Linked DNA regions of Callithrix jacchus. The protein of the gene in region 5 interacts with the protein of the main gene of each other region in a biochemical or structural test. Links are inferred from orthologs where the notes say so. Each region holds a gene or a part of one and is shown on either strand. Other genes may lie near its edges.

The links.
Region 1: the proteins of GABARAPL1 (region 5) and STK3 form a complex in vitro, tested with the Homo sapiens proteins (2 studies listed by BioGRID and IntAct). The link is inferred for Callithrix jacchus from reciprocal best matches to the Homo sapiens genes GABARAPL1 and STK3.
Region 2: the proteins of GABARAPL1 (region 5) and KBTBD6 form a complex in vitro, tested with the Homo sapiens proteins (2 studies listed by BioGRID and IntAct, with this or other methods). The link is inferred for Callithrix jacchus from reciprocal best matches to the Homo sapiens genes GABARAPL1 and KBTBD6.
Region 3: the proteins of GABARAPL1 (region 5) and kelch repeat and BTB domain-containing protein 7 form a complex in vitro, tested with the Homo sapiens proteins (2 studies listed by BioGRID and IntAct, with this or other methods). The link is inferred for Callithrix jacchus from reciprocal best matches to the Homo sapiens genes GABARAPL1 and KBTBD7.
Region 4: the proteins of GABARAPL1 (region 5) and TBC1D2B form a complex in vitro, tested with the Homo sapiens proteins (2 studies listed by BioGRID and IntAct). The link is inferred for Callithrix jacchus from reciprocal best matches to the Homo sapiens genes GABARAPL1 and TBC1D2B.
Region 6: the proteins of GABARAPL1 (region 5) and NEDD4 form a complex in vitro, tested with the Homo sapiens proteins (2 studies listed by BioGRID and IntAct). The link is inferred for Callithrix jacchus from reciprocal best matches to the Homo sapiens genes GABARAPL1 and NEDD4.

Annotation. Positions count from the first base shown.
Region 1 is NC_133517.1:98,134,386-98,139,227, reverse strand, and holds part of STK3 (serine/threonine-protein kinase 3), read right to left. Parts: intron 4,449-4,842; coding exon 4,284-4,448; intron 3,777-4,283; coding exon 3,609-3,776; intron 1-3,608. UniProt on the Homo sapiens protein: Stress-activated, pro-apoptotic kinase which, following caspase-cleavage, enters the nucleus and induces chromatin condensation followed by internucleosomal DNA fragmentation.
Region 2 is NC_133506.1:160,304,037-160,309,386, forward strand, and holds the start of KBTBD6 (kelch repeat and BTB domain-containing protein 6), read right to left. Parts: upstream 3,486-5,350; 5' UTR 3,176-3,485; coding exon 1,136-3,175; 3' UTR 1-1,135. UniProt on the Homo sapiens protein: As part of the CUL3(KBTBD6/7) E3 ubiquitin ligase complex functions as a substrate adapter for the RAC1 guanine exchange factor (GEF) TIAM1, mediating its 'Lys-48' ubiquitination and proteasomal degradation.
Region 3 is NC_133506.1:160,346,042-160,351,670, reverse strand, and holds the start of kelch repeat and BTB domain-containing protein 7, read left to right. Parts: upstream 1-2,440; 5' UTR 2,441-2,739; coding exon 2,740-4,845; 3' UTR 4,846-5,629. UniProt on the Homo sapiens protein: As part of the CUL3(KBTBD6/7) E3 ubiquitin ligase complex functions as a substrate adapter for the RAC1 guanine exchange factor (GEF) TIAM1, mediating its 'Lys-48' ubiquitination and proteasomal degradation.
Region 4 is NC_133509.1:25,371,344-25,376,185, forward strand, and holds part of TBC1D2B (TBC1 domain family member 2B), read right to left. Parts: intron 3,999-4,842; coding exon 3,835-3,998; intron 2,132-3,834; coding exon 1,887-2,131; intron 1,185-1,886; coding exon 804-1,184; intron 1-803. UniProt on the Homo sapiens protein: GTPase-activating protein that plays a role in the early steps of endocytosis.
Region 5 is NC_133510.1:12,779,309-12,784,779, reverse strand, and holds the start of GABARAPL1 (gamma-aminobutyric acid receptor-associated protein-like 1), read left to right. Parts: upstream 1-2,014; 5' UTR 2,015-2,274; coding exon 2,275-2,364; exon of another isoform or gene 2,365-2,805; intron 2,806-3,241; exon of another isoform or gene 3,242-3,607; intron 3,608-5,471. UniProt on the Homo sapiens protein: Ubiquitin-like modifier that increases cell-surface expression of kappa-type opioid receptor through facilitating anterograde intracellular trafficking of the receptor. Involved in formation of autophagosomal vacuoles.
Region 6 is NC_133509.1:43,607,098-43,611,412, forward strand, and holds the end of NEDD4 (E3 ubiquitin-protein ligase NEDD4), read right to left. Parts: intron 2,136-4,315; coding exon 2,063-2,135; intron 1,551-2,062; coding exon 1,448-1,550; 3' UTR 903-1,447; downstream 1-902. UniProt on the Homo sapiens protein: E3 ubiquitin-protein ligase which accepts ubiquitin from an E2 ubiquitin-conjugating enzyme in the form of a thioester and then directly transfers the ubiquitin to targeted substrates. Specifically ubiquitinates 'Lys-63' in target proteins.

The DNA.
Region 1 (4,842 bases), on a different chromosome or scaffold from region 5:
TGCTACTCTGGAAAACTTAGAGGGTTCAGATTTTAAATTAGTAAATATTGTGATTAGATGGTTTAAAAATGTCTAATTTTTTAGCCACTCCTCCACTTGCATAGAGTTGGCATATTAACACAGAGGATATTTCTTTGGTGTCTAGGCAAAAATACAGATCAAACTGAATTCATATCTCAGTTCTGCCGCTGATAAGTTATGTCATCTTAACAAATAATCTTATCCATTTCATCCAATCTACCCAATGGAGAATAAAATATTAATTTCACAAAGTTACTACAGTACAAAAAAAAATATTGGTTAAAAAAGAAAATCATTCCACTTACTTATCATACTGTGATATCCTACCAGCTTTCTCATATCTTAACAACCACTTTATCTCCTCTCTAACCTCTTGAGATTCAGATGTCATCTGTTTAGGGTAGGGCTCCCCAGATGACTGCTATGCAGCAAGCATGGAGAGAACACTATTCCATGATTGCTCCATTTCCTTATATTCTCTTTTCTTTCCAGAATTTCTCTCTCTTTCCAGACTGTGCCCTGTTAGTAACCACCTGAAGTGTATCTCAGCAGCATCCTTAAATTCCCTGTAGCCCCATCCTTTAAAAACACTAATTCATTAAAACCCAAACCCTGCATATCAAGGCCATAATGCACTCTACTGCGCAGCAGAGTATGCTACCACAGGAAGGCCCATAAACCAGTATTAATTACATTACAATTTCTCAATTACCAATTTTAGCTGGACCCACTACATTTTTTTTCTCTCTTGAACAGCTCTTTTCACGCCCGTACTATGCCCCCCACCAAACTACTGTAAACCTTGAAGAAACAGTAAAAGTTATTAACTTTATTAAATTTCCACACGTGAATATATATTTTGTAGTATTCTACATGACAAAATGGAAAATATGCATAATGCACTTCCCCACATACCAAAGAACAATAATAATCTGAAAAAAAGTAGTTGCATGACTGAGCTGCAAGCTAAATAAACTACAAGGCTCTTTTCAAGAACACCGATTTTACTTGAAGAATAACTGACAGAAAACTAAGGTTACACAGATGGGTATTTGACAGACATTTTCTCAAAAATGAACCAAGTGAACCCGTCATTTCAAGACAAATAAAAGGCAGTATTTGTTGCCCATGATAGAACTGTATCTGTTACATGATCTTAACAACCCCCAATACTTGCAGTTCAATACTCTAATTTGTGAGGCAGCTCACAAACACAAAAAAAGTTAAATAATGCCATCATTCAAATAGGAGATAAACTATATTATGTTTGGAAATGTACAAGGCAACACTTGATTAACTATCCAAAGAACTGGACTGTCAAAAATTGCCTATATACAAATTATGAGGAAAAAGAGAAATTTACTTGGGCGACAGCTGTCAAGAATGGGTCTATCCAGAAATAAAATCTGAGTTGAGACTTTAAAAAATGGTAGGATTTAGACTGGTTTGAAAAAAAAAAAAACAGTAAGCAAGGCATCCGAGGAAATTTGCAATATATATATATTTTTTTTCCTAAGAGAAACACTATCATCAGGTATATTTTTAACAATGTATTATGTATTCATTCAAACTCTCAGGTAATATTATCAGATCCTTAAAGGAAGGGGTCACATATTACAATTCTCTCCTCTCTGCTAGAGAAAGTAGCACAGGGTCAAATTTAACATATTGAACTATTTGGATAGAAAAATAAGATTTACACAGGGAAGAAGCAGAATGGTAATAATGGAAGTCCTAGGTTAAATCCCAGCTCTGGAACCTACCTAAGTTGCCTTGGGTAATTTAGTAACCCTCACGGACTGAAACACAAACTTGTCTACTTTGAGGATCACTCTACAAACATCCTAACTAAAATAACCACAGATAACTAATGATCAGAGAAGAAGTAAGACTCTGTGTTCCTGTTTTTGTTCTTGCTGACCTTGTTATTTTTCATTTTATTTTAAAACAATTGATGCTATTTTTATCTTTCATTTACCAAAAGGAATTTACATACACAAGGAAGATGGTACATATTGTATACGATTATATTACTCAAAGAATTCTATGCTGGGCACACTCCTGTAATCCCAGCACTTTGGGAAGCCACAGTGGGAGGATCGCTTGAGCCCAGGAGTTGGAGACTAGCCTGGGCAATGTAGCGACAACTTGTCTCTACTAACAGAAAATAGCCTGGGCAATGTAGCGACAACTTGTCTCTACTAACAGAAAATTAGTTGGGCATGATAGTGCATACCTATATCCCCAGCTACTCTGCAGGCTGAGGTGGGAAGATCACCTGAGCCCAGGAAGTTGAGGCTAGAGTGAGCCATGATCGCACTACTGCACTACAGGCAGGGTGACAGAGTAAGACCCTGTCTCAAAAGAATGAGAAAACAAAAACTCTCTTTAAAAATGCTCGCGAAGGCGAGGTCATCAGTTCAAGGCTAACCTGAGCAACCTCATAAGCTCAAACTGATTGGCAAAAAAATAAAAATAAATAAAATAAAAAAATAAAAATGTTTCAATACAACAGACAGATTTTTAAATGTTTTCCATATAATACACTATTACCTATATTATCAAAATTTAACCCACAATAGCATTATAATATCAGATGTGATTCCAATTTATTCATCTTCAGATAGCCTAAAATAATGCATTCTTCTTCTTCCTACTTACTTCAAATTCCTCCAGCCACCATGACACTATCTTCTCTTTTCTACACATACATACACTCTTCCCTTCATTTCTATATCCTTATTGAGGTAACTGCAGCCACTAGAGGGCAATAAGTATACAAAGATAAATGTACTTATCTATGATGATGAACTTATCTATATGATTCACAGAGTAATAAACCTAAAAAGTATATCATCACAAATCTTGAAACATAGGCAATTGGACTTGAATATGTAAGATATATATTTCAAACTCAAAAATTTTCCTGCAGCGATCACAGAAACATATAATGATGTTCAACAAAGGAATTCCATTTTCTGAATAAGGATTCATTAAAAAAAAAAAAGCCTAATTCCTTTACAGGTGCATAGCAATATTAGAAATTAGGATTGCTTAATATCATCCTCAGACCAAAGAGAAAGGGTAGAAAAAAAAAACCACACACACACACACACACACACACACACACACACACACACACTGAGAGAGAGAGAGAGAGAGAGAGAGAGAGAGAGAGAGAGAGAGAGAGAGATAGAGAGAGAGAGAGACAGGTATACATTACGGAGTGGGTAAGAACAGATTACTTCAAACTCTTCCACTATCACATCGAGAAGCAATAAACTGAAGAGCAAAGAGGATTTACCAACCCTTTCTTCTACTGAAAAGCAAGCAAAAACTTTACAGGTATATTTTTGGGGGTAGAACAGTGACTGTAGACATATACAGAGCCTTCACTTCTTTTCCCACAATTTAGAATGCAGAAGGAAGAGAAATTATCAGTTACTAATCTTTAAGAGATAATTTTAGCATTTTTAAAAAGAACAAATTTAAATAAACGTATTTAGTTTATATTTACTTACACTGACATTACAAAACTGCAACACTTATATAAGGCTAACATTTTTAGCAAATCATAATTTTCTTACCCTCATTGGATGTATATCAGCATAAGGAGGTTTTCCTTCAGCCATTTCTATAGAAGTAATGCCGAGGGACCAGATGTCAGCAACACAGTTATAGCCTATTTCTTGAATCACCTCAGGAGCCATCCAAAATGGAGTTCCTATTACAGTATTGCGTTTGGCCATCGTATCCTGCAATAATGTTACGTAGCCATAAATGCTACTACAAAAACACAAAGGAAATCTGTATGCCAAACATTCTTTAAGAAAAAGTCAAAACCTCCAATGCCACATATTGTATCAGAAATTGACTATATTTTGCTAAAATTTCAACCAGTTATGACATACTTAGGAATTCTGAATTCTGAAAACAACCAAGAATCCACAGGTAACTTATCTCTACTACCATCACTTAAATACAATCCTTAAAGATACTATAATGCTGAAAGCTACACAAATGAGCTGACTAGCTTCCCTTTTAGAACAGTAAAGCATTTTGATTACAAATTTTCATATTCAATTATCCTAAATTATAAATTAAATAATACTCGAATTTGGCTCGATTAGGGTTCCTTCTCCACAAAAACAAAAAAGTTACACATTTCTTTCCATTCCCCCTCAAAAAGTTATCAAAGTTTAGTTACAATCAAAGCTGAACAAATTAGCCAAGTGTTTAGAAAATTATTAAATTTAACTTACTGTTAGCTGTCCAGCCACTCCAAAATCTGCCAATTTTGCATGTCCTTCTGTATTGAGGAGAATATTTCCAGCTTTTATATCTCTGTGTATTTTTCTCATAAAGTGCAGATATTCTAGTCCTTTCAATGTAGATTTAAGAATGGTTGCAATTTCATCTTCTGTTAACTGGAAAGAAATATTTTTAAAACCATATTAAAATGCCATGTTAGATAAACTCTTACAAAAAAGCACTAGTAACAAGTATGTCGTGTGTGTGTGTGTGTGTGTGTGTGTGTAAGACACCCCACTCTGTTGCCCAGGCTACAGCACAGTTGGCGTGATGACAGCTCACTACAGCCTCATATTCCTGGGCTCAAGCCATACTCCCACCTCAGCTTCCCGAGTAGCTAGAACTACAGGCACACGCCACCCAAATAGGCTAAGTTATTTTTATTTCTGTAGAGACGTGGGCTTCGTTATGTTGCCTAGGCTGGTCTTGAACTCCTGGCTTCAAATAATTCTCCTTTCTCAGCCTCCCAAAGTGCTGGGATAATAGGTGTGACCCACCACGCCTAGCCAC
Region 2 (5,350 bases), on a different chromosome or scaffold from region 5:
TACATGTTCAGTGGAAAAGAGGATTATTCCTCTGATTCAATGAAGCATGTATCAGGTTTAGAGCAACAATACAAACCTACAAAGAAAGTTACTTCTTTTTTCAAGTTTTTAGATGATTGGGTGACACAACTAGAATCTAATTTTTTAGATGAAAATCGGTCACTTTGCAAATATACATTCTAAATGCCAAAATTACAATGAAACTTCTTTTCAAACAGTGGAATCCTGGTTTGTTGTCTTTACTGTCAGTGAGCTTATAGTTATTCTCTGTATTATTATAAATGAAGTCACCATTTAGTCACCCTAATACACATATGCTTTTTTTTTTTTTTGAGACAGAGTTTGCTCTGTCACCCAGGCTGGAGTGCAGTGGCCCAGTCTTGGCTCACTGCAGCCTTCACCTCCCAGTTTCCAGAAATTCTCCTGTCTCAGCCTCCCAAGTAGCTAGGATTACAGGCACACGCCACCACGCCTGGCTAATTCTTTTTTTTTGTATTTTTAGTAGAGACGGGGTTTCAACATATTAACCAGGCTGGTTTTGAACTCCTGACCTCAAGTGATCCACCCGCCTCGGCCTCCCAAAGTGCTTGGATTGCAGGCATGAGCCACTGCGCCCAGCCTGTACTTTTTTCTTCATAGAAGAAAACAAAACTAAAACTTCCCAAACTATGTTTAACTTATAATATATTTTATAAAGACCCCTTAGGTTAACCATTTTGGAAATCTACATTGTTCTGAAGAAAAAGATATGCTTTCAAAACACTGCCTAGCAATTCCTAATCCTTTTTCTGTTATAAAAATTAAAATTAAAAAGTTACTGCCACGGTGCTTGTGGCAATAAACAAAATGTAAAATTTATCAAAAGACTAAATTAGTTTTATGAAACATAAACATACTAAATAAATAAATACTGGATTCTTAGCACAAAAAATTATTAAAAGGTTGCTTTGAGTGTTAAAATTTGTAATATTAAATTACCTTCATATTTCAAACATTACTTTTTCTAAACCAAACCAGTTAATCAACTTTTCCTCCCCTTTGGGAACAAAAAGGATATTTAAGATATATTCCAAAACAGCAAAAACAACTTAGTGTTTGAATTCAGTTACAACAAACCCTGCTGATCCTGTGCATTTCACTGAGGTGCCACACGCACCCAAAAATCATCATCAGAAATAGAACTTGAACTTCCTGACTCAGACTCTGGCTCACTGAATCCACCTAAGTCCCATTCAGTGCTAGATTCACTTGGTATTTCTTCTTCTTCAGTGAGGAAACTCTGACCAGGTTCAAGGCAGGAAGGATAAACACGAGCAGAGAGGCAAAAAAAGTTGGAATCAAACTGCAAGAGGCCTAATGTGGTACCTATATTAATCCATTGGTCTCCCCTAATATCATATTCATACACAGTCACCCGGTTCTTTTTCCACTGTGGGGTGCGAGAGGTGACGAGCAACAATTTTTGGCCATGCTTGATAATCCGGTAGTTATTGGTCTCTGACACCAAGGGAATATTATTCATTTGCCTCCATTCTGCCCTAACTGGGTTGTAGACCTTCATGACTGGGATGTCACAGATACAATAGATCTCCTCATTGAAGACACACGCTTCCTGAAAGTCATTGCGCTTCAGAGAAACGCACTTCAGCCACATGTTGTGGCTAGGATCATAACAGAACATGCGCTTACTGTTGAGAGCATAGAGATAGTCCCGAATTACCAACAGGTCAAAGGATAAAAAAGAATGGGGCAGTGGAGCCACCAACGCCCACTGGTTTCTCTTAACATTGTAGCATTCTACTTCCTTCAATTTAACTCCAGTAATAGGGTCTCGCCCCCCCAAAATGTAAATGTAGCCATTGAGGTATGCCACATCCATGCCCTCACGACACAGCATGCGATCTGCAAGTTGGTGCCAACTATTCTGACCTGGTTTATACACCCAGAGGTCTGTCCTGGGCTGGGCAGCTAGGTAGATGTCGTGCTCTGGAGAGATACAGACAGCTAAGGTAGTGACAGTCCTAGTGTGAGCAAGACAGGTCAAAGGTGAGGGCACTTTGTAAAGGTCCCCAGAGTACGGATCACAGCAAAGAAAGGGATCTCTGGGGTGTCCAAAGAAGATCAGCATCTCCTTGGCACACATACCCAGCCTCTGAGGTGGATTTTCTGCTGCAGGTACAACAGAGTTGCTGCTGCTGCTGCTGCTGCTGCCGCCGCTGCTGCTGCTGTTTGGCACTGGCACCAGAGACTTGTACAGCAGGTCGCCATAGCGCATCTGCAGGGCCCCTTCAACAACGCCCAGGCAGTACTTCTTCACTAAGGGCTTGCTCAGCAGCCCTTCTAAGTAGTCCTGATCTTCCTCAGTGAAGTGCGTCCAGCGCACGCACTTGAAGACTTCTGCAGCACTGGGACCCCGCTCTTTGGGAGCAGCCTCCAGCCACTGCACTGCTACGTGGCACACTGTCCGCTCACTCTCCACGTCCAGACTATCCAGGCGCAGAACAGCCAGCAGCTGGGCCAGGGTCAGATCTGCTAGAGTCTCCTCCCGAATCGAACCCATGTGGCTGAGCTGCTTGAAGTTGTGAGCTATATAGGACTGGGCCTGAGATCGCAGCTTGCGATGGTCAAAGGCGTCTGCAAACTTGAGGATGGCGGTGCAGTTGGTGAGCTCCAGGCGTCGGGCTAAGAAGGAGGCACAGGCTTCCCGCACGTACTCCAGCTGCAGCATGTCCGAGGCCGCGTACAGGCGCTCCACGTTGGCCTCACTGAGCGACACACGACCCGTGTAGCAATAGTCCACCAGCACCTCGAAGGACTCGGCGTCCACGTCGTGCATGGTCACGCTGGCCTGCTGGCTCTCGTACATGCCACCTGTGAACATGCTCTTGAAGTAGGGACACGCAGCTGCCAGCACGTTGCGGTTGCAGGGGAACAGGCGACCCGTGCCGGGCCCGCTGCCGGGCGTTACCACCTCGATGGTCACATCGCACAGCAGCCGCGCGTCGTAGAAGGACTTGAGCTGGGCCAGGAGGGCTGCAGAATGGGCCGTGTCCTTTAATTCCTCTGGGCCCGTGAAAAAGGCCGAAACTGTGGGTATGTGAATCTTCTTGGGCCGCTTCCCACCGCGGGGACTGGCGAGGCGGCGAGAGCGCGGGGCGTCCTCCCGGGACTGCATGATGGAGATGGCGACGGGCGCTGAAGGCGAGAACGGCTGCAGGACCCGGCTCTGGCTCCTCCTCACCCTTCCCTCGCTGACGCTAAGGCAGCAGCGTGTCCGAAGAAGCCGGAGCACGAGCCCATTTACTGAATTCAGCCCAACCCCAAGGAGCCGCCTCCCTTTATCGTTTAGACAGTGGCTGACTCACCCGCTCTCACACCCGCGTCCCTTCTCCGCCTCTGCTCGCGTTCACAGGACCCGCTGGCTGGGAGCCTCAGACGCCGCTGCCACCGCGTGGGCGACAACACTAGGCGCCCAGGAGAACTACAGCTCCCACGATGCCTTTTGCGCCCCAAGGGCTACTGGGGCTCTCGGACCCCCGGGCCGAGACTGAAAGAGACCGCTTTGCATGTTGGGAGTAGTAGTTCGTGTAATATCGCGATCCTTCTCTGTGTTCCTTATTTTAATGACGACACTCGAGAGCGCCAATTTTCCTAGGTTGGATTTTGTGGTTCGGAAATGTGGTTTTGGTATCCAAAGTAGTCGCCTCGTTCTAGTATATATTGTTTGACTTGTCTCTGAACTGTTTCTTCTTCTTTTGTGAAATGTGAACAGGAGTATTTCATAGGATTGTGTGAAGATTAAATGAGTTGGTTATAGGACGCTCTTAATATTTGTTGGTTTGTAGAATAATTATTCGCTTCTTAGGTTGTAAAGGTTCTATAAGTTTTAACTTTTCTTCCAGCATTTATTTAAAAAAAAATGAAGCACCACTAATTTGAAATTATGAGCCTGTAGGAAAACAAAAAACAACCCCCAAAATCAGAAAACCTTGCAGCAGAGAATCCCTTTTAGGGGTGTGTGTGTGTGTTTTAATTAGTAGGTTTGAATCTTACGTTTACAGAAAAATTGAGCAGAAGGGACCGGGAGCTTCCTATATCTCTTCCCCCTTCGCAATTCCCTTATTATTAACATTTTGTATTAGTGTATGCATCCGTTAGAAGTGATTTTTTTTTTTTTTGTACATGCTGTGCCTCTCCCTGATACCAAAAGATAACTCAGTTTGTAGGATTGGTTGGCTGTTGCTGCTGAATTAGATCCCTGGCTTTTCCACCATTGCCTGTCCTTACTTGCCATGACTAAAAGGAAATCACCTCCAATCACCTGACTTTGAGACTTTCCTTCCATATCTGCATTTCAAAACCTGAAGTCCTCTCCAGCGTCTTCTCCCACTCTCCAATATTCAGTTTCCCCTTTCCCCTTTTTACCCAAAAGAAAAGACATATTTTAGAGAGTCCTCACTCTAAAATACAATGGAAGCCAGAGGCCTGGTGAGTAACTTAGCATCCTTTGAGACCCAGTGGTGCAAGCATTTCTCCCCTTGCTTGTATGAAGTTGCTGTTCCATCAGAGCGGGCTTCATTTTGAGTCATTCCCTCAACCTTTACACACCCCATGCAGTTCAGATGTTAAAAGTCACTGAGAACACCAAACACGTTTCCACTTCCGACCCACTTCCTGTGAAACCCTGCCACTGTCTTCCTCTCACATCACTGCCCACCATAGTCAAAACAAACCTCTCTTCTTCCCATTCCCTCTGAAGGACAACCTTGTGACTGTGTCACCGTCACACAGTCTCTCACATTTCCTCATCCTCACATCACCAGAACTCCTCTCAGAACTTGATATCACCTTCTTTGTAGATGGTTCTTGCCCCAGGAGTACAAATGGGGAATTTTAAGCAGGATACACTATTGCAGATTTTCAACAGCCTATTAAGATGAAATCTCCACCTAAGTTAATTCGGCCCAAATCATTGAACTCTTAAGCGCTCACTCAAACTTGCATGTTAGCACAAGATAAGGGAACTAACATTTATACAGACAGCCAGTTTACTTTTGGAATTGTACATGATTTTGGTATGCTGTGGAAAGAAAGTTTCATGACAACTGATAAGTACCCATCGGAACCCAAGTCACTAATGTATTTAAGTCTTTATAGCTATCCAAGGAATTGGCTATTCTCAAAAATCAAATCTCACACTAGTGGCTGGACTGACAAAGCTAAAGGAAACTTAACTGGCTGAAAATATGCTAAGGTTGCTACTTCTCAAGAAAACACCTCCTGAATCACTTGTATACTTCCCCTTGCTCAACCTATTCTAAGACAAAAACTCTTAGGAAACAAGATATAA
Region 3 (5,629 bases), on a different chromosome or scaffold from region 5:
ATAGTTAATGCTACAGACACTACACACGGAAAATTTTTAAATGGTAGATTTAGTGTTTTACCAATATTTTAAGAAGTTTTTTCAAAATGGCCATTCCTGAGCTGGGCATGTGGTTCACGCCTGTAATTGCAGCAACTTGGAGGCTCAGGCGGGAAGAGAGCTTGACACCAAGATTTCCAGACCAGGCTGGGCAACATAGTGAGACCCCATGTATCATTTTTTTAAAAATTAACTGGGCGTGGTGGCATGCATCTATAGTACTAGCTACTTGGGAGGCTGAGGCAGAAGTATTGCTTGAGCCCAGGAATTCGAGGCTGCAGTGAGCTATTATGGCGCCACTGCACTCCAAGCTGGGTAACAGAGCAAGAACCCGTCTCAAAAGATAATAAAAAAGGCTTTTTATTCCCGGCTGGTGTTCATTACAAGTGAGGAAACAATTGGCGTTACTGGCAATGACTGACTTAATTCTCTCTGGTGTAACTCAGGGACATCTAACATCTCTTTTTATTTACAGAGGAGATATTGGAGCCCAGAGGCTGACTTAATGTGTCTACCCTAGAATATTTCCAGCGGATACTCTTCAGCCAAGAGAAGAACAATTTGAAGTTATTCTCTTGTGATGTGTTATCCACACATGCATTGTAATACGGATGATTTTATTTATTTGGTTATGGTAACATAACAAACCAGCACCAGGAGCGGTCACTGTTTTTTAAATAAAAGTGATCTTTAAAAGTCTATCTGTTGCCAGTGCAGGGTGCCCAAGTTCTTGGCATTTTGAACAAAGAATTGGACAAAACTCATAAACAAAGCAAGGATAGAATGAAACAACAAAAGCAAAGATTTGTTGAAAATGAAAGTACACTCCATTGGGGCTCAAGGGCCCTGTTACAGCATTTCTAGAGGTTTAAAGACCCTCCGGAGGATTCCACTGGTTACTTGTTGTATGCCCTATGTAAATGAAGAGAATGAGGTAAAGTTACAGCCATTTGCTCGGCATACACCCTGTGGAGAGGATACTTCCTGTTAGAGCTGAGGTGTGCATCGGCCTATGTTCCCGGCCTCCAGGCCCTATTTTCCTGCCTCAAATCTCTAATACTTGGTTTTGATGATTTAGCTGTTGATCAACGCATATATTAAATAGTTTTGTAAAGCATAGACTATACTGTGTATTAATTCAAGGAACGTCAGGGCATGTATGAATGCTGAAGTCTGAGAATCATGTGCTTTTGTACAGAACAAAGTCTGTTGAAATGTTTTGAGTTAAAATTCTCCCTAAAACTTCTCTACGAAAGCAATTGCAGAGTCTGTTAACTGATTTGTAGAATGGCAGTGAAAGAGGCTGTATTTGGCCGGGCGCGGTGGCTCACGCCTGTAATCCCAGCACTTTGGGAGGCCGAGGTGGGTGGATCACGAGGTCAAGATATTGAGACCATCCTGGTCAACATGGTGAAACCCCGTCTCTACTAAAGATACAAAAACTTAGGCCGGCATGGTGGTGCATGCCTGTAATCCCAGCTACTCAGGAGGCTGAGGCAGGAGAATTGCCTGAACCCAGGAGGCGGAGGTTGCGGTGAGCCGAGATCGTGCCATTGCACTCCAGCCTGGGTAACAAGAGCTAAACTCCATCTCAAAAAAAAAAAGAAAGAGGCTGTATTATTCAATTTGAACACACTTACATTTGCAGCTTAATGAAAATACTCTTGCTCTGCAGAGATGAAATGTTAGTGAGAGCAGCAAATCATCTATTTGTATATGCTCAATTTGCATATTTGAGGCCATCTATTAATACTGCTCTTTAGGACCTCAACCTAACCATCTAAGACATTCTTGTTAAATGAGACCAATATACATCATTTAATATTGAAAATATTAATACTCTTCAGAACCTCTCAAAAAATAAAAATTAAAAATTGGAAGCTTTGTAACGTTTTGCAGTTTTAAAAAAAATACTTGGTTTCAAATTAGCGGGTGCCTCATTTATCATAAATTATAAAAGAGAATCTAACAATTATTGATTACATTCTAGGCACGGGGTAGTGATTTATTAATTATTCTTCTAATAAAAAAATACACATATTTAAGCATCCTATGTAACATATCATTCAACCCCACAAAACCCTGTAAAATATTGGCAGGGCGCAGTGGCTCACGCCTGTAATCCCAGCACTTTGAGAGGCCGAAGGAGGAGGATCATTTGAGCCCCCAGTAGTTCGAGACCAGCCTGGCAACAATAGTGAGACCTCGTTCTTCACCATCAAATCCCGGAGTATTAATTTCTACTTCTGTTAGAGCAGGCAACGAAAGGAAAGCTCGCGATATTTCACAAACTACTACTCCCAACATGCAAAGCGGTTTCCTTCCTCGGTCTTGGCCCGGCTGTCCGAGAGCCCCAGCAGGCCTCGGGGCGCGAAAGGCAACCCGGGAACCGTAGTTCTCCAGGGCGCCTAGCGGGATCGCCAGCGCGGCAGTGGGGCTTCCGCGGCTCCCAGCCAGCGGGTCCTGTGAACGCGAGCAGAGGCGGAGAAAGGGCGCGGAAGTGAGAGAGGGTGAGTCAGCCACTGTCTACGCGATAAAGGGAGGCCTCACCGCGGGGTAGGCAGAATTCAGGAGTCAGGTCCGTGCCGCAGTCTGTTCCAGGAAGCGGCTTGTGTTAGCGTCAGCGAGGGAAGGGTGAGGAGGAGCCAGAGCCGGGTCCTGCAGCCGTTCTCGCCTTCAGCGCCCGTCGCCATCTCCATCATGCAGTCCCGGGAGGACGCCCCGCGCTCTCGCCGCCTCGCCAGTCCCCGCGGTGGGAGGCGGCCCAAGAGGATTTCCAAGCCCTCGGTTTCGGCCTTTTTCACGGGCCCAGAGGAATTAAAGGACACGGCCCATTCTGCAGCCCTCCTGGCCCAGCTCAAGTCCTTCTACGACGCGCGGCTGCTGTGCGATGTGACCATCGAGGTGGTAACGCCCGGCAGCGGGCCCGGCACGGGTCGCCTCTTTTCCTGCAACCGCAACGTGCTGGCAGCTGCGTGTCCCTACTTCAAGAGCATGTTCACAGGTGGCATGTACGAGAGCCAGCAGGCCAGCGTGACCATGCACGACGTGGACGCCGAGTCCTTCGAGGTGCTGGTGGACTATTGCTACACGGGTCGTGTGTCGCTCAGTGAGGCCAACGTGCAGCGCCTGTACGCGGCCTCGGACATGCTGCAGCTGGAGTACGTGCGGGAAGCCTGTGCCTCCTTCTTAGCCCGACGCCTGGACCTGACCAACTGCACCGCCATCCTCAAGTTTGCAGACGCCTTTGACCATCACAAGCTGAGGTCTCAGGCCCAGTCCTATATAGCTCACAACTTCAAGCAGCTCAGCCGAATGGGTTCGATTCGGGAGGAGACTCTAGCAGATCTGACCCTGGCCCAGCTGCTGGCTGTTCTGCGCCTGGATAGTCTGGACGTGGAGAGTGAGCGGACAGTGTGCCACGTAGCAGTGCAGTGGCTGGAGGCTGCTCCTAAAGAGCGGGGTCCCAGTGCTGCAGAAGTCTTCAAGTGCGTGCGCTGGACGCACTTCACTGAGGAAGATCAGGACTACTTAGAAGGGCTGCTGAGCAAGTCCTTAGTGAGGAAGTACTGCCTGGGCGTTGTTGAAGGGGCCCTGCAGATGCGCTATGGCGACCTGCTGTACAAGTCTCTGGTGCCAGTGCCAAACAGCAGCAGCAGCAGCGGCAGCAGCGGCAGCAGCAGCAGCAGCAGTGGCAGCAGCAGCAGCAACAGCAGCAACAACAACTCTGTTGTACCTGCAGCAGAAAATCCACCTCAGAGGCTGGGTATGTGTGCCAAGGAGATGGTGATCTTCTTTGGACACCCCAGAGATCCGTTTCTCTGCTATGACCCTTACTCGGGGGACATTTACACAATGCCGTCACCTTTAACCAGCTTTGCTCACACTAAGACTATCACCTCCTCAGCTGTCTGTGTCTCCCCAGATCATGACATCTACCTAGCTGCCCAGCCCAGGAAAGACCTCTGGGTGTATAAACCAGCTCAGAATAGTTGGCAGCAACTTGCAGATCGCTTGCTGTGTCGCGAGGGCATGGATGTGGCATACCTCAATGGCTACATCTACATTTTGGGGGGACGAGACCCTATTACTGGAGTTAAATTGAAGGAAGTGGAATGCTACAGTGTTCAGAGAAACCAGTGGGCATTGGTGGCTCCTGTCCCTCATTCCTTCTATTCTTTTGAACTCATAGTGGTTCAGAACTATCTTTATGCTGTCAACAGTAAGCGCATGCTCTGCTATGATCCTAGCCACAATATGTGGCTAAACTGTGCTTCTCTTAAACGCAGTGACTTTCAGGAAGCGTGTGTCTTCAATGATGAAATCTATTGTATCTGTGACATCCCAGTCATGAAGGTCTACAACCCAGCTAGGGGAGAATGGAGGCGGATTAGTAATATTCCTTTGGATTCAGAAACTCACAACTACCAGATTGTCAATCATGAGCAAAAGTTGCTGCTCATCACTTCTACAACCCCACAATGGAAAAAGAACCGAGTGACAGTGTATGAGTATGATACTAGGGAAGATCAGTGGATTAATATAGGTACCATGTTAGGCCTTTTGCAGTTTGACTCTGGCTTTATTTGCCTTTGTGCTCGAGTTTATCCTTCCTGCCTCGAACCTGGTCAGAGTTTCATTACTGAGGAAGATGATGCACGGAGTGAGTCTAGTACTGAATGGGACTTAGATGGATTCAGTGAACTGGACTCTGAGTCAGGAAGTTCAAGTTCTTTTTCAGATGATGAAGTCTGGGTGCAGGTAGCACCTCAGCGAAATGCACAGGATCAGCAGGGCTCTTTGTAAATAGTATTTTGAGACACTAAGATGTTTCTACTGCTATGGAATGTATGTTAAAAAGATATCCTCTCTTTTTCTTGGGAAAAAAAGGTTGATTACGACCACAGATTTGGTTTAGAAAGGGTAACATTTTGAAATACTACAGGGTTTAAACAGTCCCTGAAACCAACCCGTTTAATAATTTACTGTGCTGAAAGTCCAAAATTAAAATATGCAAACAAGAACTATATAATTGGTTGGGATGCTTGGTAGGCTTTTTCCTGGTTCAGGTATTCATCCCACAGTGGACTGTTTTGATTAGTGGGCTTATTTTTTTTTTAATTCAGTCTTCTGTTAATTTTTAAGTTTTCTTTAGTGCCACAAAGAATTTATCTTTTAAATCTGTATAATAGAAAACTGGACTAGGGATTGTTGATGGCGTTTTGAAGGATGAGTACTTTCAAAATAATGAAAGTGGTAGATTTTCAAAATCTTAAACTAGTCAGTTCTTTATATTCTAAGTTAAATATAGTTTGTAAAATTATTTTGGTTTTCTTCTACAAAGGAAAAAAATTGGATATATGTATGTTAAGGTTACTGAATAGTGATTTCATTTTGATAATGTGCAGAATGGCCTCACAAGCACACAGAAAGTAAAAAAAAAGGATTCCACACCCTTCTAAACCAAACCAAAACAAAACACAAGGTAACTTGCTTTTTACATTTGTATTTTTAATCCATGCCCATTACACGCTTTATTGAGTCAGAGGAACAATTCCTGAACATATAATTGGGTAATGTAAATTTTTAT
Region 4 (4,842 bases), on a different chromosome or scaffold from region 5:
CCTGGGGGCCACTTGTCCATCTGAAACCTCTCCCACAGAGTCCCAAGAACTGGTGGCAGCAAGAATGTTATGATCTTCCCTGCCGCCTCCCCTCTGGACCAGCAGGCTTCTCTACAGGCAAGAAGAGAAATGCAGGCTGCCCCCGCCTCTCACAAGTGCTGTGTGCTCCTCCTACCGCATCAGCTGGTCACCACCCCAGGCATGACTCGGAGAGTCACTTCTGTTCAGGAAACAGCCTCCCACCTTGAGGGCTATCCCAGAGAGGGACACTTCCTTCGAAGGGTCAGGACCCTCCCACCCTGGGTGTTGGGGGCACTGACTCTGAAGAGGCCCCATCTTCGCAGGCCTCCTTGGAAGCTGGAGTCTGCTTCCCCAGCTAACCCTATAATAGCTGTTGGGAACAATGCCCCAAACCAGGCACCCACTAGGTCCTGCAGCAAGCTATACAAATTAAGTTTGCGTGTGCTTTCATGTACACAGGAGGGGCAAGAAACAGCCTCCATATGTTACACAGGATAATGAAGTCCTAAGGGTGGTATACACAGAAAGAAACGTCTCAGTTGCCTGAAAGCAAGTGAGGGGAAAGATTTGAAACTGCTCCAAGCAGCAGCAAGGTTTCCTTTCCAAGGAAGCTCCACAGAAAATTAACGATTATTTGATGGCAAGTCCTATTACACTTGTGGGGGGGGAAAAAAAGGGGTGTGCAACTGTTCTGCCATCACACAAATCAGCTCACAGAGGCCTGGCCTCTAGGGTGACATCGGTGGTCTCTCATGCCAATCACAACCCTGCCCTGCTCTTACTTTCAGCCTGTCCAGTTCCAGCTGGTCCCTGCCAACAGGTGCAGTGGAAGGGGAGCCGGGTGCCATGGTCAGAGGCCCGCTGCCATCGCCCTCGCTGAGCTTGATGATGACCTCATCCTTGGCTTGGATGGTCTCCATCAGCATCCCCAGCTGCTCGTTGAGCTCGCCCACTTTGCTCTTCAGCGTCCTCACTTCCTGCTGAAGACTCTCCTTCTCCAGGTTGAACCTCTCCAGCTGGCTGGTGAGGCCCAGAATGTGATCATCCTTTTGGTACAGAAGCTCAAGCGTGTCCTTTGGGACCCCCTCGCAGAGCCGGCTGCTAGTGAAATATTTGTCATACTGGGATGACCGGACTGTCTGCTGGAGCAGTCGAACAAGCTCCTGGGAGCCAAAAGGAGAATGGAGTGAAGGGTGAGGAAAGCGAGGAGAGGAGAAAAAGCACAAATCATGACATGGAGCAATTGTCAGAATTTAAGAAAATGTAGAAACTTTACTGGAAACATTTTAATACTGAACTTCCTCTTGAAGGATCTCAAAAACAGAAAAAAACATATTTACTCCATAGACTGTCTGTAGAGAACAGTAATAGGAAACAGGAAATAATGGACTTGCCCACTGTAATTAGTTAGCAATGGTGTCCAGTAAATGTTCATGGGTATTAAAAAATCTGTGCTCTGAGAGTCACTGAACTGCTGAACAGTTAAGTGTAATTAGAGCTGATTAGCTCAGGAAACTGCTGTTCATGCAGAAAGTCTTCTTAACGACTGTTAAAGAACTCTGGGCTGAAACTGTGTTTAGAGAGATTCAATCTTGGGGCAGGACTGGCTGGAGGTGCAGACAGCAACCTCCCCAGTCCTCCTTTCTTCACCCTCCTTACAAATATAAACACCTCTGAACCAATGATCAAGCACAGCAGCCACGCCTAGGATGACGGCCCTGGCAGTATGAAACCTCCAGGGAAAAGCAACTTTTGGGAAACAAAACTGTCTCTGGAAAGATTCAGGGAAACACAGATTGGCCTTCACTCCTCCCGCCCTTGGCCTGCTGATGTGGGGTAAGACAGAAGCCAGAAGAAGAAGTTACCTTCTGACTGGACAGGTCTTTCTTTAACCGTTCCAGCTCTTCCTGCTGGCTCTGGACCTGCAGTTGCATTTCAGAGGCTGGCTTCCTGATGCTGATGCTGACACTGCCACTGCCTGGTGTGCCTTCACTTGAAGGATCACCACTGCTGTGACGATTTCTGTACGACCCAATTATGTCTTTCAGAGGGCGCTTTCCTTTGTAAGGGTTACGTCCAAAATCAAAGGGGAATCCTGAGCCAGTTACTCCTACACAAAAATAAAACTGTGTTTTAAATACAAGCCACATCTTCCTTTTGGAAACTATCTTCGCAAATCATCCTCAAAGGAGTTTGGCATTCCCCACCTTGAGAACCCGAGGAGATTGATGACTCTGCCCCCACCGCATTCTAGATAGTAACCAACATGCTTCAGCCAAAGATGACTGATTCCCCCCACTGGATCCTTCCTTGGAAGACTCTATCATAGGATCACTTTTAATGGAAAACGAAGGCATACTAAGCATCCTTGGCTTCCCATTTTTGCTAGAATTAGGTATAAAGTGGAATTTCAAAATTATTTATTATTTCATGTTTAAAACATCAATATTCTCTTAATGAATTAATCTACGATTGTGGACGGGCACAGAGGCTCATTCCTGTAATCCAAGTACTTTGGGAGACCAAGGCGGGTGGATCACCTGAGGTCAAGAGTTTAAAACCAGCCTGGGCAACATGGTGAAACCCCATCTCTCCTAAAAATACAAAAATTAGCTGGGCATGTTGCCGCGTGCCTGTAATCCCAGCTACTCAGGAGGCTGAGGCAGGAGAATCACTTGAACCCAGGAGGCAGAAGTTGCAGTGAGCTGAGACTGTGCCACTGCACTGCAGCCTGGGTGACAAAGCAAGACTCCGTCTCAAAAATCAATCAATCAATCTAGAATCATAAATGACTGTTAAAAGCATCTGGCAAAAGGCTGATGGAGAAGGTTATGAATGGATCAGAATGACAACCCTAAGCCTTGATGAATCTTAATATGATAAGAGAGAAACCAGACACTGTGGTTTCAGATGCGATGCGATAGGAAGCACGCAGCACCTCCCCACCAAAACACCATTCCTGTCCAACCAGAAGTCACCCTGAATCTGGGCAGGCCTTGGCTCTCACTGCCAGTATACAGGAAAGCATGTTAAATGACCCCACAGAAAAACAATCAGCAAACCCAGATGTGCGAGACTCCTCAGCATGAAGACCTGGTTTCTTTAACAAATGTGGGAAAGGAGGGGGAACGGGAAAAAGCCACCAAAAGAGACCTAAGAAGACATCAATTAAATATAATGTGTGGGTGTTGTTTGGATCCTCACTTAAAGAAACCAACTGTAAGCAGACACTTAGGGAACAATTAAGGAATTAAATAATATTAAGGATTTATTATAACTATAAATATAGTAAGTTCTATATTTTTTAAAAAGAGTCATTATGTCTTAGAGATACATACTAAAACATTTGCAGATGCAATGGATTAATGCTTAAAATTTAAAATAATCCAGCTGACAGTGGGTGCAGGGAGGAGCAGGAACTTAGAGATGGAGAGGGAAGAAGAGAGACCACAGTTCACATTGTGGAAGCTGGATAACGAGTACACCAGAATTCGTAAGACTATTTTCTCTTCTTTTGTGTACATTCAAGTTTTTATAAAGTTTTTTAAAATCAGTATTTCATAAAGAGGATCATGACTTCCAAGTGTTCTATCTCCCAAAAAATTTTAAGAGCCATTGGATTAGACAGTCATTTATTTCTTATAACATTTATTAAATAATTTTCAAGCCTTTGTGTTTTAAGTTTCACAAAGAGAATGCAAGCCACCACCAGGCCTATGCCTCTCAAAATACCTGCTAATAAAGTGTCTCCCATATCACTAGTGAACAGACGGCAGTACAGAGAATGACAGACAACAGGAAGCGCGCTGATACCTTTGTTTCCTTCAGGGGTCGGCTTCTTCTTTTCCTCCTGCACTATGGACTCCTCTAGGTCCTTAGGGGTTGGGTCTAAAAGTTCCCACTCTTCATTGGTATAAAACACAGTCCTCCGACTATCATTATGGCCCCTCCCAGGACGGAAAGAAGACATTGAATTTCTGTTGGGAAAAACGATGTGTTATTACTAAAAACAAAAGTCAAGCAAAATGTAATCTCATGTATATAAGATTGGCAAAAATTAAAATATCTGATGATATCAAATGTTGGTGAGGATGTGAAGAAACGGGGATTCTTTTTTTTTTTGAGATGGACTCTCCCTCTTGTTGCCAGACTGGAGTGCGGTGATGCAATCTTTGCTCACTACAACCTCTGCCTCCTGGATTCGAGCAATTCTCCTGCCTCGGCCTCCCCGAGTAGGTGGGACTATAGGCATGTGCCACTGCACCCAGCTAATTTTTGTATTTTTTATTTTTAGTAGAGATGAGGTTTCACCATGTTGGCCAGGCTGGTCTCAAACTCTTTATCTCAGGTGCCTCCCAAAGTGCTGAGATTACAGGCATGAGCTACCACGCCTGGCCGAAATGAGGATTCTTATACATTGCTGGTGGGAGTACTGTTAAGTTGAAGAGGTGCCTGCCCCTAACACCCAGTATTTCCTAAAAGAATTCTTACATATGTGCACGAGGAGACACAAGCAAGAACGTTCACTGTAGCACTGTCCGTATTAGAAAAAAATGAAAAGGTACAAGAACCTAAACATTCATGAACAGGAGAATAAACTGTGACACATTAATAAAGTACTATACACAGTTAAAATGAATTCATTCATCCAGCAAATACTGATTGAGCCTACAATGTACCAGGCACTATTCTAGATACTTGGAATATCCCAGTGAACAAAACACAGCAAGATTCTTGTTCTTGTGGAATGTATATTTCAGCTAAAGCTACATGTAATAGAAACGAATGGAAAAGAAAATGGAAGAATTATAGGTACAGCAT
Region 5 (5,471 bases):
CAGGCTGGTCTCAAACTGCTGACCTGAAGTGATCCACCTGTCTTGGACTCCCAAAGTGCTGGGATTACAGGTTTGAGCTACCATGCTGAGCCAACACTCTAAAAATTTTCATCTCCACCCTAATTCTCTTTCTCAACTGGTTATAAATAACTCTTTAGAAAGACTTAGCTATATTTGCATAAAAACTAAAATGAGCCACTGAAAATTAAACTATTTTCAATTTGAAAATAACACCTAAAAATTATAAACATATAACGTGGTAAAATACCTCATAGATTTTCTAGCTTTCTTTATTTATTTATTTTTGAGATGAAGTTTCACTTTTGTTGTCCAGGCTGGAGTGCAAAGGCATGATCTATGCTCACTACAACCTCTGCCTCCTTGGTTCAAGCAATTCTCTCCTGCCTTACCTCCCAAGGCGCCTGCCACCATGCCCAGCTATTTTTTTTTTTTTTTTTTTTTTTTGTATTTTTAGTAGAGAAGGGGTTTCGCGGTGTTAGCCAGGCTGGTCTCGAACTCCTGACCTCAGGTGATCCGCCTGCCTTGCCTCCCAAAGTGCTGGGATTACAGGCTTTAGCCACCGTGCCCTGCCCTTATGGATTTTAATACATAAGGATTGAAAGATGCCGTGGGGAAGTGGGACTATATGATACATTTTCCTGTGCCAGTAATGTAACTTAGTTTCTTTTACTTTCAGAGTACGTGTTTCATTTTTATTTATTTATTGTTTTTGAGACAAAGTCTCGTTCTTTCCCCAGGCTGGAGTGCAGTGACCGCCTCGCGGGTTCAAGGGATTCTCCAGCCTTCAAGGGATTCCCCAGTAGCGGGGACTACAGCGGTGCCCATGCCTGGCTAATTTTTGTATTTTTTTTTGTAGAGACAGTGTTCTGCCATGGTACCCAGGCTGGTCTTGAACTCCTCAGCTCAAGCGATCCTCCGTATAGGCCTCCCAGAATGCTGAGAGTACAGGTGTGAGCCACCACGCCCGGCCCCCTGTGGGTGTGTTTTTTAAAATTAGAGACACTGCGACCCGGATTGAAGAAGATAGGCCATGGGGCTTCTGTGTCTAACATTTTTCAGAATTCACCCGACTTGTGTGGGCAAAGCAGTCCCTTTTCACTGTTCTTTTTTACAATCTCCACAGCACTCCCTTCGCTGCCTACAGTACTGGTTGGAAGGCCTCTGTCGTTTGACTCTCGGTGGTTAAAGCCAGAACGAGGCTTCACCGCACCTGCCCCAATGCTCAGTCTGCCACTAGCATTCCAGGCGGCGCTTTCTAGTCACGTGAGGGATACCCAACCACTAGAAATAAGATGTGGGGGAACTGAGATCATCACCTAAATTGCTTGATACTTTCTTTTCCAGAAGACACGCCCTCCTTCTGGATTAATGGCAGAAAGTGAATCATTTCTATATTTGATTGTACGTGAAGCCCTCGGTAGTCCTTACTGACATCACGTCTCCTCTGGACATTGATTACGCTCCGTGTCCTTCACCTGACATCTCTTCAGATTCCTGAGTCACGCTCTGTTTATGTTGCTGTTCCAGGAGCGAACCACGGCGCGGATCCAAACAGTGACGTCAGCGCCGGAGGAGCGGCAGCGGAACGCGCAGAGGGCACGGTGCAAGCACGGGACAGCTCTGCATTGGCCAAAGGGATCCCAGGAGGCCTGGCCCTCTGTTCCCCCGAGGGTGGATCCCAACCAGCAGAGACAGGCTGGATTTTTGCCTTTTGTATTTGTTCCGGGGCCCAACCAACAAAAACAGTGGAGGGGGAAGAAAACATGTTTAGAATATTTTTTTTGTTTTAAAACCGTATTTAATTTCACGGTTACAAAATAAAACACAACTAGAATGTTTTGATGTTTGCAATGACATCGATTTTAAACAAGGTTAGCCAGAAAGCAAAAGCAGTGAGGCAGAGCTGTCGGCCTCCTCCCGCCTTCGGCGCCTGGCGCGCGGGGGCGTGGCGTGGCGCGCGGGGTGACGTCACAGGCCGACGCTCCGCCCGGCTGTTTTTGTGCTTCCAGCTCTTCGAAAAAGCCGCTGGTATTTCTCCACCTGGCTCTCCTTTACCTCCAGGCAGGCGCACCCGAGGTCCCCCTCCTTTTCCCCCACCGCGCACTCGGCCCAGCGCTGTTGCCCCAGGAGCGGACGTTTCTGCAGCTGTTCTGAGTACACCTTGACGTCGGCGGAGGGAGCAGGACGCGGCCAACTGTCAGCTGCGAAGGAGGCAGGCCCCGCGCGGGGATCTAGCAAGCCCTGCGGTGCATTATGAAGTTCCAGTACAAGGAGGACCATCCCTTCGAGTATCGGAAAAAGGAAGGAGAAAAGATTCGGAAGAAATATCCGGACAGGGTCCCCGTGAGTGTAGAGCAGTGGGGGGATGGGACAGGAGGGCCCGCGGGGGCGGGGGCGGGGAGTAGCGTTGGCTGCCCTGGGGCGCCCAGGCCGCTCTGGAGAAGGTGGGGGGGGGGTTCCATGAATTACTTAATCCTGAAAGCTCTTCAGTGCCAGAGCCAATGGACGTCCAGACTGCGGAGCTTTTAAAACCTGTATGCCAGCAGCCTGAATCCCACTTTAGAGCTGACGGCGTTTTTGGAGCCGAGCCGCCGTCTGCAGTGACTCAGCAGTATTGAGACGTGTGTGGGTTGAGGGGTGCACAAAATAGGGCCCCTGTGTGCGAGAGTGGTGAGGTCGGGGCCATGGATTGGCTGCCTTTAAGAACGCAGGGACATTGTGCTCTGCCGTGAGGTTTGCCCCGGTCGATTTCTGCCTTGGTTGGTTCCCCTTTAATGAAGTTGACTTTCTCTCTCATATCGTTGGGCTTGGGAGGAAAAGGTTCAGAAGCCATTCGGTGCTTTTCTTGCATTCTCTCAGAATTACAGGGGGGTGGGGGAGCACAGGACAGTCCTGGCCTGGAAAACAAGGTCACGTTCTCTGCGCAACAGCCCGCTTGCCTCATCGTTCTAGGCTCCGGGGCATGTGTGGAGACAGCTATCCTTCCCCGGTATCGATTTCTGATCACATGGTACCTGGACGCGATAAGGCAGGACTGAGACTCCTTTTCTCTGTTTTGGACACCGGCTTAAGTAGTTAAAACCAGCACAGGTAGTGAGGAGGAACGGAGAAAAATAATTAGGTATCTTCCAGCATCCGGGCGTTTTCCCCAGTCCTCCCCCCCCCCCCCCCCCCCGTAATTCTGAGAGAATGCAAGAAAAGCACCGAATGGCTTCTGAACCTTTTCCTCCCAAGCCCACTTGCCTGGTGTTTCTCTAATGTAGGCTGCGATGCCAAATTGAAGGCCAGAATATGACTTTTAAGTGGTAGAGGGACCAGCAACTGTTGGATTTTGGAAATGGAGTAGCGGAGATTTTACGGTGATCTTCATGTGGGGACATTAGTGTTACAAGTCACATAATGGTAAAACAATTGCTGTTATCTGGTGTCTTTTCTTGATTCACAGCCACTCTGGGTTTCTTCTTTAATCCTTACCTAACATTCATGGTTTTATAGCTACCAGAAGCCGCCAGCGCCTTAGCCCAGCAGTACAAACCTCTTGTACCTCTTTTCCTTAAAGGAAAAAAAAAAAAAAAAAAAAAGTCATTAGGGCTCTTCCATTCCCCAGGAATTACAAAAGGGTTTTCAGCTTATAAAGGAATGTGCAAAACCCTTAGCCAGTAAAGGATCCTTTACGAATTACTTTCCTGGTTTCTGGACCTTGGATACCTGCTGTGAAAGTTTCGCCCAGTTTTGGTGATGCCAGTCTTACTTTTGAGTAATGATATTTAAAAATGACAGCCAAGTTTTATTGATAGTTTACCCTAGCATTATTGTATCAGTCTGTAATCATTCACTTAATCCTTACACGATTATAATCCCGGTTCTACAGATGGAGTGTTCAAAGCATAAAGAAATGCAGTAACTTCCTAAAGGTTTCACGTTGCTGATCTGTGGTTGAGCCGGAATTCCACCCCGTCTGATGGACTGTGGAGCTCTCGGAGACCTTAACCTCCATGCCATATATCTCAATTTCTAATATAGCTGTATTAACCAGAATTAGTGATGTACTGTGGACTTTACATTGTTAAGTATTAGATAAATATTTTAGTGATTTATGTGTATTCACTCTGAATATTTCAGTGAATTCTCTTCTTTTCCTGCTCATATTTTCGTGTTAAATGTTTTGCTTCTGTGATAATTTTTAAGCCATTAAGACTGTCACTCGGATTTCAGCTTTCCTAGGGTTATGTTTTAACCAGTGGTGAGCTGTTCTCAAAGTGCTTTGTCTGTGACCTTCTTTCTAGTTATGACGCAGGTTCCTTGATTTGGTTCTGGTTCTGGGAATTCATTGCATCCTTGGGCAGAACTCTTAATCTTGTGGTGCTAGAGTGCCTTGTTTACAGAAAAGAGGGTTATAGTAATGACTCCTAAAGCCCATTCCCACTTGACCATTGTTATTAAAGCAATGGCGTATCCTGACTGCTCTCATAACCAGAGCTTACCCCCACCAATATTTCTTCAGAGCTCACGTTGGAAAGAATAGGTGTACTTGTGCCTTCGGAGAGCAAGGGTTGATGGGATCTTGAAATTATCTTCATAGATACAACATACAAAAAAACTGTTAGGAACAGATTGTCTTCTTAAAAATTCATAACCCTACTGAGTATGAGTCACATTTTACAAATGAGGAAAACAGACCCAAAGAGGCAAAGCATCTAGCCCAGGGGTCTACCATACTGAGGAATAGAATTGGGATTCCTGGAAACTTAACCTTGGTTCTGTGAAACCAAGGTTTTAATGATTACCCTTCCCTTTCTCTTCCTCTCCTAGCCCCTCCCTCCCATCCAGGTATTGCAATCTGATTTATCACTTTTTTTCTGTCTTCCTTTGTGGTTTTTAATCTCTTACTGCTGGGTCTCAGAGTTCCTTTGGGCCACAATGCTAGCCTCTTTCTGCCTTTTCCTTTTAATTTCTGACTCACATTACCCTATTTCAGTTTTTACTTTTAAATTTAAAATGTGATCATGTCCCTCTGGTCTTCCTGGTTCAGGATTTTTTTCTACCAGAACATAAAGCAAGTTTGTTTTTTGTTTTTGTTTCTTTACTAATTTTAATCTGTTCTTTTAATTTAAAAGGTTCAAACCCTCCCCGAACTTAATTATGTTAGATAATTCTTTATAATATATGAAGCATTTTCATATAAAATTTTATTACATTTACATCATATCAATACCATGACTTTGTTAAAGATGTGTTAGAAAGTTTTCTTTTCAGGCGGGGCACGGTGGCTCACACCTATAATCCCAGTACTTTGGGAGTCTGAGGTGGGTGGATCATTTGAGGTCAGGAATTCCAGACCAGCCTGGCCATCATGGCGAAACCCATCTCTACTAAAAAATAGAAAAATTACCATGCATGGTGGCATGCGCTTGCATTCCCTGCTACTCCCAAGGCAGAGGCTGGAGAAT
Region 6 (4,315 bases), on a different chromosome or scaffold from region 5:
TAAGACCCATTTTCTATATAAGCATGCCAATATAAGGATGATACAATATAAGTATGAAATATAAATACAGTGTTGGCACACTTATCTTTGCAGGTGCGCTGGAATCTAGAACATTTCCCTTTTACCTTCTTCTGCTTACCCCTACTTTTGATTGTTTTACAGATTCACTGACACATCTGTAAGTCCCTTGAGGATCAGGACTCAGCCAGATTTCTCTGAAGCTGACAAACCTTACCCCAGGGCACAGCACAGCACTATGCACAGAGCATTCAATAAACCTTTGATGAATGCATGTACATGGTCTTTATGTATTTCAGTTTGGTTAAAGAAGGATTCAACCTACAGCATTTTGCCTACAGAGTTTTGGATTTGTAATAAAACATTGTCTTCATAGTAAACAGTATTTTCAAAAAGCATAAGAAATACAGTAATAAATTTAATACAAATTATGCATTATATCAACTCTTTGGTTATTTTAAACAAATCATTTGTTTTTTTTTTTTACTAGAGTGATACTAAAAATATAAAAATGCGACTACAGAAATTAGCTTAATCTGTAAACATAATAAACGCTGTAAACATACATTTACTACATAATTGTACAAGTGTAGAGAATGACTAGTAAAGGCAAGTGCTATACACTTCATTTAGTTCTTCAAGGCATATTTAGAAATACTGCTTTGTGGATCTTCAATGTTTGAAGAAGGAATTCTAACTACACTAAAATATGAAAAAGTGATGACTATACCAATGATCATAAGGATATGCAGGCAAGAGAAAGGCCTTAATACTTTTTACCCATCGCAAAAATGACTTGCTTCACATGTCTTATGAATCACCTGTTTAGTAAAAACTGCATATTAACAAAAAGCCAAATACTTTGAAAGTGAAGAAGTAAACTGTTTTTCTGTGAGTTAGTTGACTAGAAAAATAGATAACACACTTTCCAAGGTTTTTCCAAAAATCTAGGCGGTAAGGTGCATAAGGCAGGTCTACAAAAATAATAAATACTGCGAGTAGCACTAAATACATTGTAGTTTATGCAATAGTATTTTTTTTTCCAAATTTCAGTTTTCCATCTCAAAATGCATCAACATCTTCACACATGACACTTATCACAAATATTTCACAGTTATAATCTCAGTAGTTTAAGAAAAAACTGCCTGGCAGATACTATACAAGAGGTAAATGTTATGGCCAAAATTCACTATTTAAGTCGTACGGGACTTATATCCTATTGTGTGAACTCTAAAGACAGAATGGAACAACTGTGTAAATACAACACATTATTTAAAAGCGATTAAAATAAAGTTGTCATACTGTTTCTTCAAATGCTTTTTATATGCTTTTCTTCAAGATCTGGGAAGAATCAGTGGCCAGGTTTTAGTAGTTCCCTGGAAAATTTTAAGTCATGATTTGGCTAACACCATAGACTGTTATTTGTAATCTAATCAACTCCATCAAAACCCTGAGTGTTTTCAATTGCCATCTGAAGTTTATCCCATAATTCTTCAAATGATTCATAAGGTGGCAAGTCCAGGCGATTAAAGCTGAAAGAACAGAGGAACTGGTTATGAAAGACGTTGACAAAGCAAGTACCACCAGAGCACACAGCAGTGCTGCTAATCGTGATGAGTAAGTTCCAACACCACCAAAATACGTCTTTTCATCGGGGCTAGAAGTAAGATGTAGGACTGGGCTCTGGGCATGGATGCTCCACACGACTCCTTGTGGAGTCCTGCTTCTACCTGTCTTCCAAATGGCTGAGTTCCTCTACCATGTTAACCTCCAAAATGGAATGTTCTAGCCCCCCTTGGGAAGGCTGATCACTCATCACTCAGTTTAAATGGGCCTCTCTGATCTTCAGCTACCTGGATTTCAAGCCCCGGCAAACTTGGTAACAAAACACTTGTTTGTTGGGTTAGTGTTGCAGTCTCATCCTTATCCATCATCTACACCTGCCACTACAGTAACAGAGGAGACTAGCCCTGCTGTAGCTAGACGATCAGAGGAACCTCACTCTCTGAGGCTTTGTTCTATCAAGGTCCAGACAACTGCTTACCAGGTATGAGCTCTTGGCAGCTTTTCAGGAGTACCCCACTGTTCAACTGTAAACAACTGTGGTCCGTTTGAACCTATAAGGAAAATTTATTTGATTTCATTTACTCTCTACAAGGATCTCCAGGCATACCAAAATTTTTCTAGTGTAGAACCTACACATACAAGGAACTAATCCGGTTTATTTATATTTTAGAGATGGGGTATCCCTCTGTCACCCAAGCCAGAGTGAAGTGGCATGATTCAAGCTCACTGTAGCCTTAAGCTCCTGGGCTCAAGTGATCCTCTTGCTTTAGTCTCCTGAGTAGCCAGGACTACATGGGTGCACTACCATGCCTAGCTAACTCATAAAAAATTGATTTTATAGAGATGGGGGTTTCACCTTGTTGCCCAGACTGGTCTTGAACTCCTGGCCTCAAGTGATTCTCTCAGTTCAACTCCCAAGTGTTGGGATTATGGGCATGAGCCACCATACCCAGCCTTCTAATGTGGTTTCTTTAAACTCAAGAGATGAAGTCCTGTGCTGGATGTCTTCATTGTTCAGCCATGAAATGAAGATTCCTTGTCTATCAGTTCATTTTTCATATCACACGTGGAGTGGCATATCTGACATTGCTTTTGCTGTATCCTAGCTCTATACACACTGCATTTCCATATACAATTTCCCTCATAGGTACAAAGAGTAAATAAGCATTCTCTTTCTTTTTTGAGTACCACTGAAAATAGCTTTAATTTTTTTGAATTATACAAATAATCTGGCTGACTCTGGGCACACTACCTATGAGTTAGCCCTGCTAATTAAACAAACAAACAAACCACAATCCCAGCACTTTGGGAGGCTGAGGCAGGCAGATCACTTGAGACCAGGAGTTCGAGACCAGTCTAGTCAATGCGGCGAAACCTCGTCTCTACTAAAAATACAAAAATTAGCCAGGCGTGGTAGTACATGCCTGTGGTCCCAGCTACTTGGGAGGCTGAAGCATGAGAATCGCTTAAACCCGGGTTGTGGAGGTTGCAGAGAGCTGAGATTGCGCCACTGCACTCCCACCTGGGCAAAAGAGTGACACTCTGTCTCAAAACCAAACCAAAACGAAACAAAATCCCAGAGAGTAGAAAGATGGAAACCAGAGACTGGGAAGGTTGTAGGGGGTGGGGGAGTGAACAAGGTGGCGATGACTAATTGGTACAAAAAAATAGTTAAAAAGAATGAATAAGACCTACCATTCGCTAGCACAACAGGGTGACTATAGTAGAAAATAATTTAATTGTGCATTTAATAATAAATAAAAGAGTATAATTGGGTCATTTGTAACAAAGGATAAATGCTTGAGGGGATGTATACCTCATCCACCCTGATGAGATTTTTACTCATTGCATGCCTGTATAAAATATGTCAAGGGCTGGGCACAGTGGCTCATGCCTATAATTCCAGCACTTTGGAAGGCTGAGGCAGGCAAATCATGAGGTCAGGAGTTCGAGACCAGCCTGTTCAGCATGGTGAAACCTTGTCTCTACTAAAATTACAAAAAATTAGTTGGATGTAGTGGCAGGCACCTGTAATCCCAGCCACTTGGGAGGCTGAGGCAGGAGAACCACTTGAAACCAGGAGGCAGAGGTTGCAGTGAGTTGAGATTGTGCCACTGCACTCCAGCCTGGGTGACAGTGAGACCCATTTCAAAAAAAAAGTTGGGATTACAGGAGTGAGCCACCACGCCTAGCCGACTTAAAACACTTTTTATTGGCTATCTAATATTGCATTGTAATTTTAACATTTTGAAATAACTTCTTCTTTCTATAAATATATAAGAATTTGACTTTATATTTTAACACAAACAACTCTGGCACTATGTGTGGGATATTTGCCCCAAATTTGAAACAGTGAATGAAATCAGTGGATAGGCCTGGGTTACATAAAAGGAGGAAGAGGCCAGACAGAGATGGAAAAGAGCATTTGTTTGCCCTGCCTTTATTCTCTACTAACTGGTTACGGTAGAGAAGATAAAGGAAGGGGAGTCAGAGGCTACGAAGTCCAATTAGGCAAGAAATCACTGAATTGGTAGTGGCAAAGCTAACCACTTTGAGTGGGTTACTCTAGGTAGAGAAGGAGCAGCTGCTTGATTTGTTCTGCAAATACACATTAATGAAGCTTAGCAGGCTGACCAGATTTGACATGGAGAAGGCAGGGTTTAGCAATCCCATCAGATGGCCAGCTTCTATTTACATAAAACAATTCAGTTTAGTCAATTCCTAGGCAACA